Linked DNA regions of Struthio camelus. The main gene of each other region encodes a partner of the protein of the gene in region 2 in a complex. Links are inferred from orthologs where the notes say so. Each region holds a gene or a part of one and is shown on either strand. Other genes may lie near its edges.

Region 1 (7,456 bases), on a different chromosome or scaffold from region 2:
ACATTAGGACAGGCTGAAGTTTTAAATCTCATTGCTGCAGGTCCTATCCAGGCTCAGCAAAGCTTTGTTTTGGGTTTTTTTTTTTTCTCTCCTCTCCAAGCGAGCCTGAAGACTTCCTGCTCCATTGTCAGCACTTGTACATTACATTTAAGTTTAATAACTGACTGTAACTCCCCCTTGCAGGCATCCCTCCATGCACAAGGTGTATTTCATTCAGTCTCCTGTCATACTCAGTTGCCTCACAAGACTGCTGGGTCTTTGCAAGACAGAACTGTTAGACACCTTCTTCAGGCTCGACATCACTTCACCCAGAAGTATGGTCTGCTGGAACAGATTTTCCTGGTTATCAGTCCAATGGGCCAAATTATTTTAGCCCAGTAGCTCCCAATGCATTGCAACACTCTGTGGCCTTGTGGGCAGAGTTAAGGGTGAATCCATGGAAACCCCTCCCCACTTTTTTTTTTTTTTTAAGGTAACAGTGCTTTGGGAAAACAAAATTAATAGTGGCTTTTGTTTCTGTGTGCTTGGGAACTAGTACTTGAAAGCTATGTTGCCCCATTTGCACTCTAAAGTCTGGATATCTCCTGTGGCACATGTCCCATCTCTGCCAAGGACAACTGCATCCATGCTCCCCCAGCAATTATTTATTGCAATAGTGGCAGATGTAGCAATTACTCACATGGAGGAGTAATTCAAGAGAAGATTTTTTTGTGTTGCTCAGAGTAGTGTAGTAACTGGAAGTGAGTCAACACCTTGAAATCAACCCCTTCTACGATGACCACTAGCAAAGGACTCCAGCAACCGCAGTTTTGTAACCTTGGTTCTCAGACACTTACTCACTTTTACTCTGTGGGCATTACACAGTTTTGCCTGGAAGCAGCTGGTATCTATCTTGTCTTGTAGCAGCAACTTAATTTGCTAAGTCATGTCACACGCCACAACTACAAGGAGCAGGGCTGCAAGTTTCACAATCAGCCGCCTATTTCAACCTTTGGAAACATCAAGGTTAGGGAAACTCATGCTCAGCCCAAGTTTGTTAATATAACCCATGCAGGCCTAGTAAGCTCTTTTTCCAATGATATAATGCTACCATCACTTTACTAGTTAATACAAGTATGAGCCTTCTTCTATGGGACACAAAGATAAGCTGTTACGAACGGAGTACTGCTGCACAACCCAGCTGAGGTCATCTCATTGATGCTCCCTGCCAACACCAGCTAATCCACCCTCCCCTTGTGTTGACAAGCCTTCAATGACTCGAGACTGAGTCAGTACATCTACGCTACAGCCCAAAACTGTAAGCACAGCTTGTGTTGGCATATAAGAGCTAGCCAGTTTGAACTGTGTCCTGACTGGCTCACTATCTACAGGCTTTTAACTCAGGTGCCTTCATGAATTCTCAACTAGCCCTTGCAAGACAGATACTGCTTTCACTTCTACTAAGAAAGGAAATGCAAGGGGACAGGGAAAGAAGGGGAGACCAACAAGCAAAGCACATCTATTTCCAGGATTTAGCTGCAATGACCTGACTCCACACAAACACAGCACATCTCAGCTAGCTGGTTCCTGGAACATGAAACCGCATCTCGGAAGTATCTAACATAAGTTTACAAACAAACCCCAATCACATTATAGTGCGCTTCAGTAACCTCTAAAGCGGGGAAGAGAGGCTGTAAAAGCCTGCTGCTGATGTTCTGCAACAATACAATGCCCCCCAGAGGAATACGCTGCTGCAGAAGTTCATCCCTTACCCTCAGAAAAAAATAGGGGGGGGGGGGGGAAGAAAAGGTCACAGGGAGAAGAACAAATTACAACTTCATACATCCGTCATCTCAAGTCTTTTGAGAGCCACGACAGGGCCGGAGGCCAGGCATACTGACGGAGGGAGCAGGGAGGAGACAGGCACACTAGCAGCTGGTTGGACACGGCAGACTCTCCTCCGCGAGCCGCTGAGTGCTCTCAGCGTTGCCATTCACTTTTGTAAACAGTCGCATGGCTCCATCACCTTCCCTGCAACTTCCCTCCCAACGCGCTGCAGAAGCCGCTTTCCGCACCCTACGCCGGGACAGCCGCTTTGACCCCATCCTACAGCCGCAACTCAGAAGCTGCCATCATCGGACACTCGGCAGTTTGCTCCTGGAAATGTGGCATGCAGCCCCCAGCGAGACGAAGCTGCACGTGCCACCGAAGCCTTCACAGCGCCCCTGCCCCAGGGTCTGCGAGGTAAAGGCAGACAGCAGCTTGGGAAGGAGAGAGAAAGAAAGGAAGACTGGCTTCCGAGACCAGAAGATCATACGCTCATCCTGCATCACTGTCAGATAAGAAAAACGAGATTTATTTCTCTAAGGGAGTAGCTGCCATCTTTGCAATCATTTCGTAAACTTCCTACTCTTACACCGAGTGATGGCTCAGGCTTTCTAGTCAGCTGCAGCCACTCTCCGTCACCAGCCACACTGATTGCTCAGGCAGATAAGGCAAGCAAGTTACACTCCATCACAAGGATACGGCAAGATTAATCTCGTCTGGTAGCAGAGTCTAGGCTCCTCAGACACGGGGTTATATAAACTAGCGCACATTAGCCCACGTTCACGTCGCGAAAGGAGAAGAGAGGGCCGTGCTCCTCCAGCCTTGCAAGGTGCGCTCCAGCGAGACGCGGGAGCGAGCGGCGCCCCGCTCCCCCAGCGCGCCGGGCTCCGCGCTCCCCGCCTGCGCGCTCCGCGGCCGCCCCCGCCACCCCCAGCGCCGCGCTCACGCGTGGCCCCGCCGCGGCGCGGCCCCGGCAGCGCTGCGCCCAGCCCAACCCCAACCTCAGCCCCGGCGGCTCTTACCGCTCCCAGGCTGCCGGCCGGAGCATGGCAGCGTCCGGGGCCGCGGAGAGGTGCGGAGAGGTGCGGAGCGCAGCGAAGGCGGCGCCGGTCTGCGCCCACCCATCCACCCACCCACCCGCGCCTCCGCCGCGGCGGGGAGGCTGGAGCGGCGGCTCCGCCCGGCGCCAGACGCGGCCAACGCGGCCCGGCCCCTCACATGGCCCAAATAACAGCCGGCCCGGCCCGGCTCCGCCCCCGGCTGCGGCCCCGCTCCGCCCCTTCTCACTCCAAGAATCGCTAAAAATAGCCGCAGGTTTGGCGCTCCCAGCGCTCGTTTTTTCGGTGCGGGGCGGCACGGGCCGGGATTTCGTCGCTTGCTGGTGAATTTCGCTTTCAGCCGCTCAGAGGTTGACCCGGGGTTGCAGTGCTGGCGTTGCGGTCACTCTAGGGAGCATGCGTTTTTTTATTTTATTTTTTAGAACTGATTTATTTACGCAAATAAATCATGGAAACGATTCTGATCGTTTCAGTCTTCCCCCCCCCCCCCCAAAAAAAAAAAAAGCGAATTTAGGGACAAATCTGACGCAGCGATGTCTCTTTGAGACGATTCATTTTCAGTATTCCCAAGCAAAAAAGATTCTGTAGCCATATTGCCTGGAGCTATAAACTAGTAATTGTCATAAATTGAGCAAGCCTTTTTGCATGGGATACCTCCAAGGACCACCTCGGAGCTGCAGGAAGTGGTATGAATGATTCAGGAGGTGGCAGCCTGCCATCTGAGTCAGTATTGAACCGATGCGCCTGCATGCCGCCAAAGTTATTGTTTTTTGAGATGAAACATTAACGTTGGGCCTTGACCAGTTCTCATCATTAATGGTCCTGGGACATGTTTGAAAAGAAGAGCTGGGCTCGTTTGTGTGCCTTAATTTGTACGTCCCAAATTCCAGAGCGCTTTGTTTCCATCTCTGCTGAAGTTCCTTTTCACCACAAGGCCTCAACTCAAACAAGAGTCATCCATAAATGCGCAAGTGTGTTCATTCTCCTCACCTGCCTTTAAATTAGACGGGGTGCTCAGCCGTTTCTCTCCTTGCTGTGCTCCTCTGAGGGAGGGAGGGAGGTAAGCAGTGAGGAAGGCGATTCCCCCGCGTATACACGTGCCAGGGCTCTGGGGATGCTGGTGGAAGGCGGTATGATTCTCCTCTGCTAAGAGCTGAACAGGCTTTTTCTCATGGTTTGTGGGCCGTTCGTTCATGCACAACTTAGTGATACCCTGTGCTGGCAAGGAGGGAGTCGCATGTCTGCAGATGGGCTGACACGGAATTGCAGGCTGTGTGGTGCCCAGGGGCCGTAGGCTCCTCGCTGCTAGGTTACTTCTTCAGCGAGGTGGTCAGTCACAGCAGGACATCGAGCGATATATCATGCGTGATATATCAGCACAGCGCTGACCCCACTGAAATATCAGAACAAAGGGGAAGCTGCAACTTCCCGTGGCCTTTGTAATGCAAAGGCCAAGGTGTGGTGGCTTGACTGTTGTATACCCCCCTCTCCTTCACCCCTTTCTGGCCATGCAACCAAAACAGTCCTGCAAAAAGACTTCAGCCAATGCAGGCAAATACTCCTCTCGGACTCCATGGGACAATGCATGCATGTGAAGTTGCCCACATGTGCATTCGTGCCTTTCCAGGACTGAGGCACTAATTTGTTAAGCATCTTTTGAAATCCTTAGGGAATAGATGCTCTGTGCCAGCCATTGTGGTTCACTCGAAAAACATGCACATTACATTAAAGTTATTGCTCTAGCTGACCAGAGACACCAGGGAGTTTGTAGGCACTGCACAAATGTCTTCTTTCACAGAAGACAGACATGGGAGAGATTTCATGTTAAACAGATACATCTATTTGGGTGGCTTTTTCAAAGCTACTTTGCTTTGACCTCATCCTGTTCCTGTTTAAGTCAACAAGATTTTTCCCACTAATTTCAGCAGAAATCGCTGTGAAATAGTCCCCCAGGTGTATTGTGAAAATCTCCTTCCTTAAGATTTTCCTATAGGTTGCCTGTCCATTTCTTGGACAGCTGGCCAAACCTAGTGGGCTCATGCTCACCTGGAAACCCTGTGAATACTGCTCCGAGAGAGATGAGGAAGGATGTTGGCTCTGCAAACTAGCTCCAGTGCTTTCTAACAGCGCGCTGGCAGCTTGCGTGCAAATCCATCCTTGCCCGTGGAGAATTTTCCCATTTGATCTCCACTTGTTCCTGAGTCACTTGTGCCTCTTATACCCAGGCCAAAGATCTTGGAGGAAAGAACCACCCAAACATTAGCCAGAGAGCAAGGCAAACTGAAGTGTTGTATTGGGAAACTCCAGAACTGCTCAGAACAGGAGCTCTGGGGGCCATGTTCTCATTTACAGTAAATCACTCTACTACACGTATTAAAGTGCACCTACTTTAAAGGCTTTGTTTCATTACTGCCAAGTTGGGAGGCTGCTGTAACGTGAGAACCTCATCGGTGGGAGTGGGGCAAAGGCTAACGTGGCTTTGTAATCTAGGAAGACAGAGGGGAGGCAGCTGTTGATTAGTGGGCTGGCAGTAGCTCTTGATGCCTAGAGATGCAGATGGGGAAACTTCCTCTTGCTTTGAGACCTTCCCCTGCACATCTGCTGCGCCCCAGGAGGGATAACAGAGCAATAGCCAGAGCCAGGATCCTGCGGGAATCCCAGGCTCTCGCTTATGGAGACTTTGAAAGCAGGTTCTCGTTGGCCCGTCTCGCCGCAGCTCGCTCCCCAGGGTGTATTAAAGGGTCAGCACAGCGTGAGCACCTTCTGCAGCAGCAGAGGCATGTCATCACTGAGTCCAAGAAAGATGTTAATGAGGTCTGAGAACTGTGCAGGAAACTCAGCAGGCTTTAATCTGCCTGTGAATTCAGCTGCTCTGCTGACTCCACTACAGCGATGTTAGCTGCCTCCCAGAACTGGAGATATCGATTTCTTGAGGCCTGAAGGGTGAAAGCAAGGTACGAAAGGTTAGGCCCCTGCCAAGGCAGCAGGAAAAGCAGAGAGCAGGGAGAAAAGGCATTAGGTGTGACATGATTTCTTCAGCCTGGACTGCTGGCTCACCTAACCTTACTGCGTTCTGGGTGGAGAGAAGGTGGCCTGCAGGAGCTAAACTTTGGGCCAGCTTCTTGTAGCAACTGAAGTGGAGGCATTCATGTTCAGCTAAACCCGTGCCAGGGTACTCGGCACTAAAAGGATCAACAAGTCAAGACGGATCTATGAGCTGTCATCCATTTCTCCTGCAGGAAGCGATCAGAATCAGATGAGCTGGAGAAGTAACAAAGGGATTTCACTCCACCCCTTCCTCCCAGATAATGAGTTCTGTGTTTGAACTATCAAAAAGCAACTAATGATCTCAGGTGCCCAATTGTTCTTCAGAGGGCAAAAGTGTCTCATTGTTGCATGAAAAGCAAGGTCTCCTAAGATGTTTTAGAGTGAGCTTATTAAAACGTAGGCCGTTCTCATCCAAGAATGGAAAGGCATGGGCAGAGCTGGACCAATTCTGCTTTGTCCACTGACTTTGAGTGACCTCTGACAACTGCTTTTATTGCTGTGAGATTACAGTGTGGCTCTGTGCTCTGTGTGGAGCTTATTTAAATACCTTCAGAAACAAAAAGTGGTGCATTGTGCACTCACTTATCTTGCCAAGAGCACATTACATCCCTTGTAAGTAAAGAAGTATTACTGTTTTCAAACTGAGAGATTAAATGGCGTGTCCGAGGTCACGTGCAAGGGACCTCTGCCAGCCTGGGGAATGGGATGCAGGTTTCCTGGGTCTCAGGCTGGCTCTGTAATAGCCACTAACCCGTCTCAGTCGGAGTGTGCGGCCTCCCCCAGACACCACAGTCAGCACTACCCTGGAAAGGGAATGTTGCAGTAGTTCCTGCCCTTTTCCCAAGAGGACTGTTAAATTAAGGGCACACCAACTGAGTTGCCACTCCATGTGAGACTGCAGTTCCTCTTCCATGAAAAGTCACCACGTCACTTCCAGCCTTGCTCAAGATTTCCTTACGATCTTCTCTGTATGTAACCTCCAGTTGTGGACACAAATGCATGAGAACGTAACCAGGGCAGCAGGGTATTTTCTTACACAGTTAACGCTCCCTGGGTTCATCTCTTGTCCACACTGAGGCACCTGCATTAAAGTTCGGGAGCGCAGCAGGTTTACAACTACCATATGGTTGCAAGGATCCTTCACTGATCCACCCTGTAAATAGAAGTTAGAAGCTTACCCACACCTGCTGCGTCCGCTCCGCTGAATCAGTGCGGAAGTACAGCCTGTTAGCGCTAATGTCACGCAAATCCTGCTGGACAAACGCAAAGGAGGAGAAGGTTCACCAAGACGCCTTTTGTCTGAAACGCATCTCCTCACACAAAGGAGTCAGATGTGGTAGCCTACATTTTAGGCTTATTCCCAGCAAGCAAGGTTGCCGCCTGTCCCTGCAGTGCTAGTGAGAAAAAGATCAGATACAGCATCTTGAGCCAGATGATCCCGAGGGGCATGATTTCTCGCTGGGCTACTTGCGGCACCTTGCCATCGCAAGCTGTGAGTTTCTTTGTCTGAGGGTTGTCTCACAGTCTTGCACTTTCTTGCACAC
Region 2 (7,714 bases):
AATACACTAAGGTTAAAAATACCTCCTCCCAACAGTGCAGCAGACGTTGTTACAGTAACAAATCCACAATGTTCCTGAGCAAAGACTGTGCTTTCCTGGAAAGCAAAGAGTATTTTGAGCAAGGTTCCTTTAAAAAATAATAATTAAGTAAATAAAAAAGAGGGGGGACAGAGACAGACAGAGAGAGAGACAGAGAGACAGAGAGACAGAGAGACAGAGAGACAGAGAGACAGAGAGACAGAGAGACAGAGAGACAGAGAGACAGAGAGACAGAGAGACAGAGAGACAGAGAGACAGAGAGAGAGAGAGAGAGAGAGAGATAGAAAGGAACTATCAAAGGACAATAGTTTCAAAAAAAGGGATTGGGAATTTGGAGCACAGCAGAGACCCTAAAATAAAGTGTTGAACTGTTCATATGCAAAAGCAGTATTAACTGGACCATGACTGGTTTACTTGGGGAAATAAAGATACAGCATTTCTAAAGCTCATATAGGAGCATGAGGTGGGGGGAATTATTTAGGAGGTTCTGTATAAAATAAACAAACCATGGACTAGAAAAGTTTGCACACACTAGAATTCGAGTATTAAAAAAAAAAAAAAAAAAAGACTCACTTGAATACTCCTGCTTTGGAAAGTGATGGATGCAAGACCGATACCAGAACACTTCACCTCAAAGCAAAGACTATGCAAGTAAGGAAACTAATCACTTCAATTAAGAAGTGCAGGATCAGCCTGTAAGAACACAATTTTAAAGACTTCTTCCTTCCCTAGAACTCATTAATTCCTTCCCTCCCGATATCTTCTCACATGCAAGTGACTGCGGGAAAGTGCTTATTAAGTCCCAAAGAAAGGATTAGTGACTTTAGGTACGGAGAACAGGATCTCATCTGCTGCTGCTGCTTTAGAAACACATATCTTGTTTTTATTGGCATTTTAATAATCTCCAGTGTTAACCAAAAGAACTGATAATACAAGGTTTTTTTTCTGCAAGGATGTTGGTCATCAATATTAATGCAAGACTGTAAACTAAAACACAGCTTTGTTTAAAGTTTCCTCTGGCCTTTCTTATTAACCGCAAAAAGCTAAAAACTTGGTTATCATTCTTCTGAATTCCTCTAGGAGTATTATAAATCAATGCCAGATTTTTATACTAGTAGCAAACCACAGAGGACAGCGGTGTTGGCTGATAAAAATATCTTCCTCTGCTTTCAAAAAAATGCTCTTTAAACCACTACATTTTTTCCAGTGCAGGAAATTCTTTCGGGTTCCAAACTGAATAATATTTACACCTGAACATCTATTCAGAGCTGACATATTAGTTTTCTTTCATTACTATTGTTTTGATCCTATTTTGACGAGCACGTACCTCTTAGTTTGATCTTCCAGTAGTCTTAAAAGTTATTCTCTGCCAACATAAAGACATCCCCTCCCCCCAAATCACTCTCGATTAGAGGGGCTTTTATTTTAAAAAAAAAAAAAGTTACTACTGCGCAACTGTTTGGATGGCACACTATAGTGACACAGAATCCACCTCAGGGACTGCGCTGAGGCTTCTGTGTTTTTCTACGTGATGCAGGGATAAAACTCCACCACCTCAGTTTTCGCCCAGACGCACCAACGAATCCACGTCGAGGGGAGGCACGTTCAGCAGGGCGGCGGGCAGCAGCCAGACCCCCGGCCCCGGCTCGGGGCCCGCAGCGCCCGGCCCCGCGCGCCGGCCTGCCCCCACGCGCGCCCCCGGCTCCGCGGGGTCTCCGCGGCCCCGGCACGACGCTCGGGCCGGGGCAGCCCGCCGGGAGCCGCCTCCCGCCGCGCGCCGCGCCCGGGGCTCAGGTGCGGCGGCGGCGGGCGAGCGCCCTCCTCCCTCCCTCCGTGCCTGCCGCCGGCCGGCCGGCCCGTCCCCCGCGGGCTCACCCACCTCGGCGGCCGGGATGTTCACCACACCTGTCGACCTCCTCTTCTCCCGCAGCTTCCTCTTCTCGATCTGCCCTTTCCCCTTCCTAGCGCTGGGGCCGGCGCTCTTCCCCTTGGCGGCCAGCTTCTCCTCGCCCTCCGGGGAGCCCGGGGCGGCGGCGGGAGGGGGCTTGGCGGCAGGCTCTGCCCCCCGGCCCCCGGCCAGGGCCGGCAGCGGCTCCTTGACGGGGGCGGCCCTGCTCAAGGCGGCGCTGGCGAGGCTGACACAATGGACGGCCCCGCCGGCGGAGGGCGCCGGCCGCTCGGGCGGGGCGGCCGGGCCGCCGGGGTGCAGGTTGTTGTTCAGCTCGGCGGAGGACGTGCCGCCCAGCGGCTTAGCCTCGCCGCCGGCCGCCGCCGCCTGGCCCGGCGGCGCTTGCTTGGCCCGCATCTTCTCCCGCTTGGCCTTCCACTCCTCCAGAAAGTCCGTGGTGCTGCCCCCGGCGCTGCGGTAGCCACCGGTCGCCATGTTCGCGGCGGGGTAGGCGGCGAGGTTGCCCCAGCAGCACCTCTGCCACCGGCCGCCCGCCCTGAGGCGGCTCTGCCGCTGCCCGGGGAGGAGAGGTCCCGGCGGGGCGGGCGGGAGGGACGGGGGCGGGGAGACGGGCTCGCAGAAACACAAACACCCTGGAGAGAAACAAAAGGGGAGCCGTGAAACATCCACGCCGCAGCCCGTCCTCGTCCTGCCTCCCCGCAAGCCCCTACGCCGCTCCCCCTCACCCCACCCCACCCCGGGACGAGGCGCCACCGGCGCCCTCCCTCAGGCGCGCGGTTCCAACCGCCGCCTCGTTCCCCCCCCCCCCCCCCCGCGGCAAGGGCCGCCGCGCACCGGTTCCCCTCCTCTCCCCTCCCGGCGCCCGGCCGCCTGCCTGCCGGGGCGGCCCCCCGCCCCGCGCCCGCGCGGGGAGCGCCCCGGCGCTCACCTCCCGGCCGGCGGGGCCGCGGCACAGGCGGTCCCCAGCGCCGGCGGCACCAGGTGAGCAGCACCGCCTCCCGCCGTCCCGGAAGGAGCGGCGCGGCCCCGAGGCTTCGCGAGCTCCCTCTCCCCTCCCTCTACGCCCGCCCGCCCTCCACCATCGCGGCGCGGACAGAGCCGAAGCGAGGGCGGAAACTGCCGAGATGGCCCTTAACAATGGGGCGCGCGCCGAGGGCCGGCACGGAGGTTCCGACCCGCCCGGCCCGGCCCAGCCCGGTGCGCGTTGCGACCTGACCGCGCCGCGCCGGTTGCCGCCCGCCGCTGCTCCGCCGGCGGCGGCAGCGCCGTGCTGCCACCTGCCCCGGCGTGAGCGCAGCCGGAGGGGGACCCCCACCCCGGCGCTGCCAACGGCGAGGCGGGCGGCGCGGGAGCGGGCGAGGGCTGGGGGCGCCGCCAACCGCCGGCCAACCGCCAACCAACGGCCAACGGCCGGGCGGGCTGCCGCGCCGCCTTAGGCCACGCTCCCGTGCAGCGGCGTTTGTCCAAAAGCCTCCGGTGAAGGCGATTCCCGCCGTGCCCTCGCCCCAGCTGCCCCGCAGGCTTTGTCCCGGCGGGCCTGGGGTGAGGAGCTACCGGGAAGGTGCGGCCGAAGCGGCCCGGCGCTGCGCCGTTGGTGAGCGGGGGGGGCGGCCGGCGGGTGTGCGGCCGGCGCTGCCTCCCGCTGTCCCGAATAACACGTCGGAAGTCCGACTTCGTGAATTTTTGACTTCAGCTGTCGTTAGGAAAACGCTGTGTTTAGGGAGAAACGCCCTCAGGAGCTGCGCCGCGTTAAACTGAGCGCTCGGCAGCGTGCGGCGTGTGCGTGCCTCAGGGAGGAGGCGGTGCGTGCTGCGGCTGAAAACGTAAGGATCGCTGCGTGTTGTGCTGGTCGACGGGGTTGGTACACCTTCAGACCGGGAAGAGTCTGAACTTAATCACTCCCGCAGCGTAACAGCTTCCTCCTGTCTGCAGCTCTGGTGGGCGCACTGAAGTTACTGAGTAGACCTCCCTCGTTTCTGCAGGCGCGAGGTCGGGGCAGAGCCTGGGCTCTCCTGGTGTGACGAGAAACAAGGGATTTCCTTCTGTCACTCTGCAAAAGCTTGAGAGATGTAGCGTTTGTAAATAATACAGTCTTCGGCTCGGGAAGCTGACTTTCTTAAGTATTAGGGAAGACACACGTGCAGCGAATGTGATTTAAGTATATTGTTTTCATTCGATTGGTATAAACGGTCAAATGACAAAACCTGCATGGAAAACGTGCCCTGTTTTTTTCTGAACTCGCTATATCATAATAGAACCCTGGAAACTGATTGTGTTGTTTTTGTAAATCACTGGTTTCAGTAACATTTGCTTAATTCTGATTTATGAGGAGTACACTAAGAGGAATGAAGGACTGGGTAGGTGCTACTTTTGCAGTAGGTTCAGGCAAGTGGGCTAGAGCAAGATACAAGTTTATGTCAGAGGCACAGGAAATCCAGAAAACCTGGGTTTATGTAGCTGGGAGCATATCACAGAATCACGGAATCACAGAATCGTTTAGGTTGGAAGGGACCTCTGGAGATCATCTAGTCCAACCTCCCTGTTCAAGCAGGGTCACCTAGAGCACATTGCCCTGGATCACATCCAGACGGCTTTTGAATATCTCCAGCGAAGGAGACTCCACCACCTCTCTGGGCAACCTGTTCCAATGCTCTGTCACCCTCACAGTGAAGAAGTTTTTCCTCAGGTTCAGATGGAACTTCCTGTGGTTCAGTTTCTGCCCGTTGCCTCTCCTCCTCACAGTTATTCCTCACTTTTCTCTCTCTTTCAGATTCAGTTCAGAATTTGTCCATTGGGTTAATAAAACCCTCAAGTAGTTTAGATTATAAACTCTGTAGACGTTTTTGGTTTCTTTTTACACTGTGCATATAAACATATATATACATATATATATATAAAAATATATATATACACATACATGTATAACATCTAGTAGAATGGAGTCCCCAGTGCCTGACTCTAACCTTTCTGTAGCCAGCAGTATAACTAACAGACTTACTTCATGCACACCACTTACCACTTTGACCTTATGTGCCTCTCTGTCCTGTTCTTTTGTACCGTAATTGGTGCTCCCTCACCATACCAGCCTTCTGTGCCCTTCTGGTGATCATTCGTTTCACTTAATTCATATCTGATTTCTACTCTGGTTTGGGTTTGGGGTTTTCTTTGGTGAAGAGGGTGGTTTTGAAAGGGGGTTTATATGTTTGCATATAAGGAAGTTCAGATGCCAGGATCCTTGGTGCAGAAGAAACCTCTTATTTTTCAAGCTGAGGGAAAACACCAAAATAAGCCAGGAAGTAAATGTTGAAAACATTCTGTAATGTAATTTTTTACTAACTCTAATACTTCTTAATACTCAACAATATAAAATTAGTAAAGTTGATCAAATTTCTACTTGGAGATCAAGTGTTTAAAAAAAGTTGACTTAACGAGAATTTTGATCAAGGTCTCTGCCCCAGAGCCCCTGAATTCTTACCTGTAGAGTTTTAAAGTTAGAAAACTACTCAGTTATATTTTTAGGAAACATAATTTAGAAAAATTCAGATGAATAGTTGTCTGCAAGGTACTTCTCCCATTCTGTCAAATACTGCCTTTTATACAACAAAGTTCTCTTGTGAGAATCAACATAGCTGTGACAGTACCAGTATTTGTGTCCTCGCTCATTAGTATACCCCACGAGGAGCACATCTGGCCAAAAATGTGTTAAAAGGGTCAGATCAGAAAGTTGTTATTTATAATATGTTATGTCTATGGAGAAATAGAGCAATAAATTTTAGTTCTTAATCTCAATTCTCCATTACCTTGGGTCTTCCCAGTTGCTGCTTCAGCCCCTCTCAATGTGGCAGCCATTATCAGCAAGGTTTAAATGTGTTTGGCCCACTTGGCATCTCTTCTGCCACCCTTATTAAGCATAGGGGATGCTACTGCTGGGCTTTAGCTGGATCTGCCATTGTTGTTAGATTTTTTTTTTTTCCTAGTGCCTGTAAAAAAAAATGTTGGGTTTTTTTTTCCCAGTGCCAAAAGGCTTTGTGTTCTTTACAGTCTGTTATATATTAACAGAAGTTATGTTGTGGTGAGTGAGGTTGGGCTTAAGTGCCCGCTACAAAAATGCTGACTGTCAGATGTTTGCATCTCAATAAGGTTGTCTGTGCTGGAGAGCTTTCAGGGATAAAGTCCCAAATAGTTTAAGTATCACCCTGCATGTTTTCCTCAGCCACAACTGAGAACAGCTTAATAGGTTGCAAACATTTTTAGAACAGCACTTTTCTCTTTTCTTAAAAAATTCTTAGGGATATTTTTAAGGCCTAGAAATACAATTCATTTTATTAGCCACGTTTAGAACTATCAGAATGACAAAGGACCTTAAGCCTGAAAGTAGTGTTTTCTATATACTCATTATTGTGGAATGAGACTCTCCCCTAAAGGTAAAATTACTACTAGGATTTGGTAGGATGGTCTAGATCTCCTTTGCCAGGCAAAAAGCAAACACTCCATTTTTTTCAATTTAGAATAAAAAACATCATTTATTCTTAAAATCTTGAGGAACTGAAGTGCCTTTTGAGGTCAGACACTTTAAAGCCAGATCCTTTGTTGAATGGTTGCAAGCAGTTCAATATTTCTGTGATTTCTGATAGAGATTCCACCAAATTACCCAATCTTATTAAGGTTCTGTGTACGAGTTTAGCTATCTGAGCCATAATCTATCAAGTGGCAGTTTTCAAGGGATGGAAAATTAAACGGTCAACCCAATAACACTGTATTATTGGCTGAGCAAACTAAGGACAACATCCGAGTTCCTAGCCAAAGTCTATTTGCATGTTATCCCAACTTTTTTAATACCTGCTGACCTCCATGCTGTATGCTCTGTACAAAAACACTACTTCTCTGTCACCTTCTTCAGCATCTTTGGAAGCTCTCCCCAAAAACTCTGTTGAGATTACTATATTTGCCTGTCTAGCTCTTACATACGCATACTCTTCCTTCCGTTCTGGACTTCACCCCATCTGTGTCTTTCTTACCTGAACTTCCATGAAACTCTTCCCCTAAATCCACCTATCTAGTACTTCCTGTATCTGATGCCCTTTGAAGTTCCTTCAGTCAACATTCTTAATGTTTCTTCTCCTAATACAAACTTTTTCAGTTACGTGCTTGTTTCAGAACCTGCTTTATCACTCTTGCAAAATTTAGAGAAATCACCCCAGTAGTGTTCCATTAAATCTACCCTCTCAGCTGCTTCAGTTTCACCTGCTGTATAATCCTCATACGATTCTCACACTTGATACTAACCTATCTACGTACTTATTTCTGCACTATTCTATTATTAACGCTGTTGCTTAAAATCACTATGATTCAGTGAAATCTTACTACCACCTTTTCATGGAAATGTCCCTGCTTCACTTCTTAATCCATAAAATTTCAAAAGCCTTCTCTTTAAACCTTTCCCATTAAATCACTTGCATAACTTCTCATCTTTCTTCAAAATCCTCACATATGTGCCATGAAATTTCTAATGTCAATTCTCCACATAAAAGTAGTAACCTTCCTAATGCTTCCTAATGCTTTCCAAGCCAGCGCTTCGCTGTCCTGTAGCAATACTCATGTTCCTCTCTCCAATCACTCGTGCTGCCTCAGACCACGTTCTTAGAATGAGATGGGATACACTTTCCAAATGTGTAAGTAAGTGTCTTTCTCCTTGTGCTCTTCCGTTATTCCCAGTTATATCTCTACCTGAAAAAGGAATAGCTCTGTCAGAGGCAGTCAAAAGAA

What was found. The genes of interacting proteins can lie anywhere in the genome.
Region 1: the proteins of PAWR (region 2) and SPSB1 are in contact, whole or in part, in a crystal structure (PDB 2JK9), measured with the Homo sapiens proteins. The link is inferred for Struthio camelus from reciprocal best matches to the Homo sapiens genes PAWR and SPSB1. Residues at the interface, in NP_001341661.1 of Homo sapiens: Glu68, Leu69, Asn70, Asn71, Asn72, Leu73, Pro74; in NP_079382.2 of Homo sapiens: Arg77, His78, Pro79, Val80, Ala81, Gln82, Gly110, Thr111, Tyr129, Val216, Trp217, Gly218.

Annotation. Positions count from the first base shown.
Region 1 is NC_090962.1:5,493,113-5,500,568, reverse strand, and holds the start of SPSB1 (SPRY domain-containing SOCS box protein 1), read right to left. Parts: upstream 3,065-7,456; 5' UTR 2,829-3,064; intron 1-2,828. UniProt on the Homo sapiens protein: Substrate recognition component of a SCF-like ECS (Elongin BC-CUL2/5-SOCS-box protein) E3 ubiquitin-protein ligase complex which mediates the ubiquitination and subsequent proteasomal degradation of target proteins.
Region 2 is NC_090942.1:45,220,193-45,227,906, forward strand, and holds the start of PAWR (PRKC apoptosis WT1 regulator protein), read right to left. Parts: upstream 3,057-7,714; 5' UTR 2,877-3,056; intron 2,581-2,876; 5' UTR 2,423-2,580; coding exon 1,919-2,422; intron 1-1,918. UniProt on the Homo sapiens protein: Pro-apoptotic protein capable of selectively inducing apoptosis in cancer cells, sensitizing the cells to diverse apoptotic stimuli and causing regression of tumors in animal models.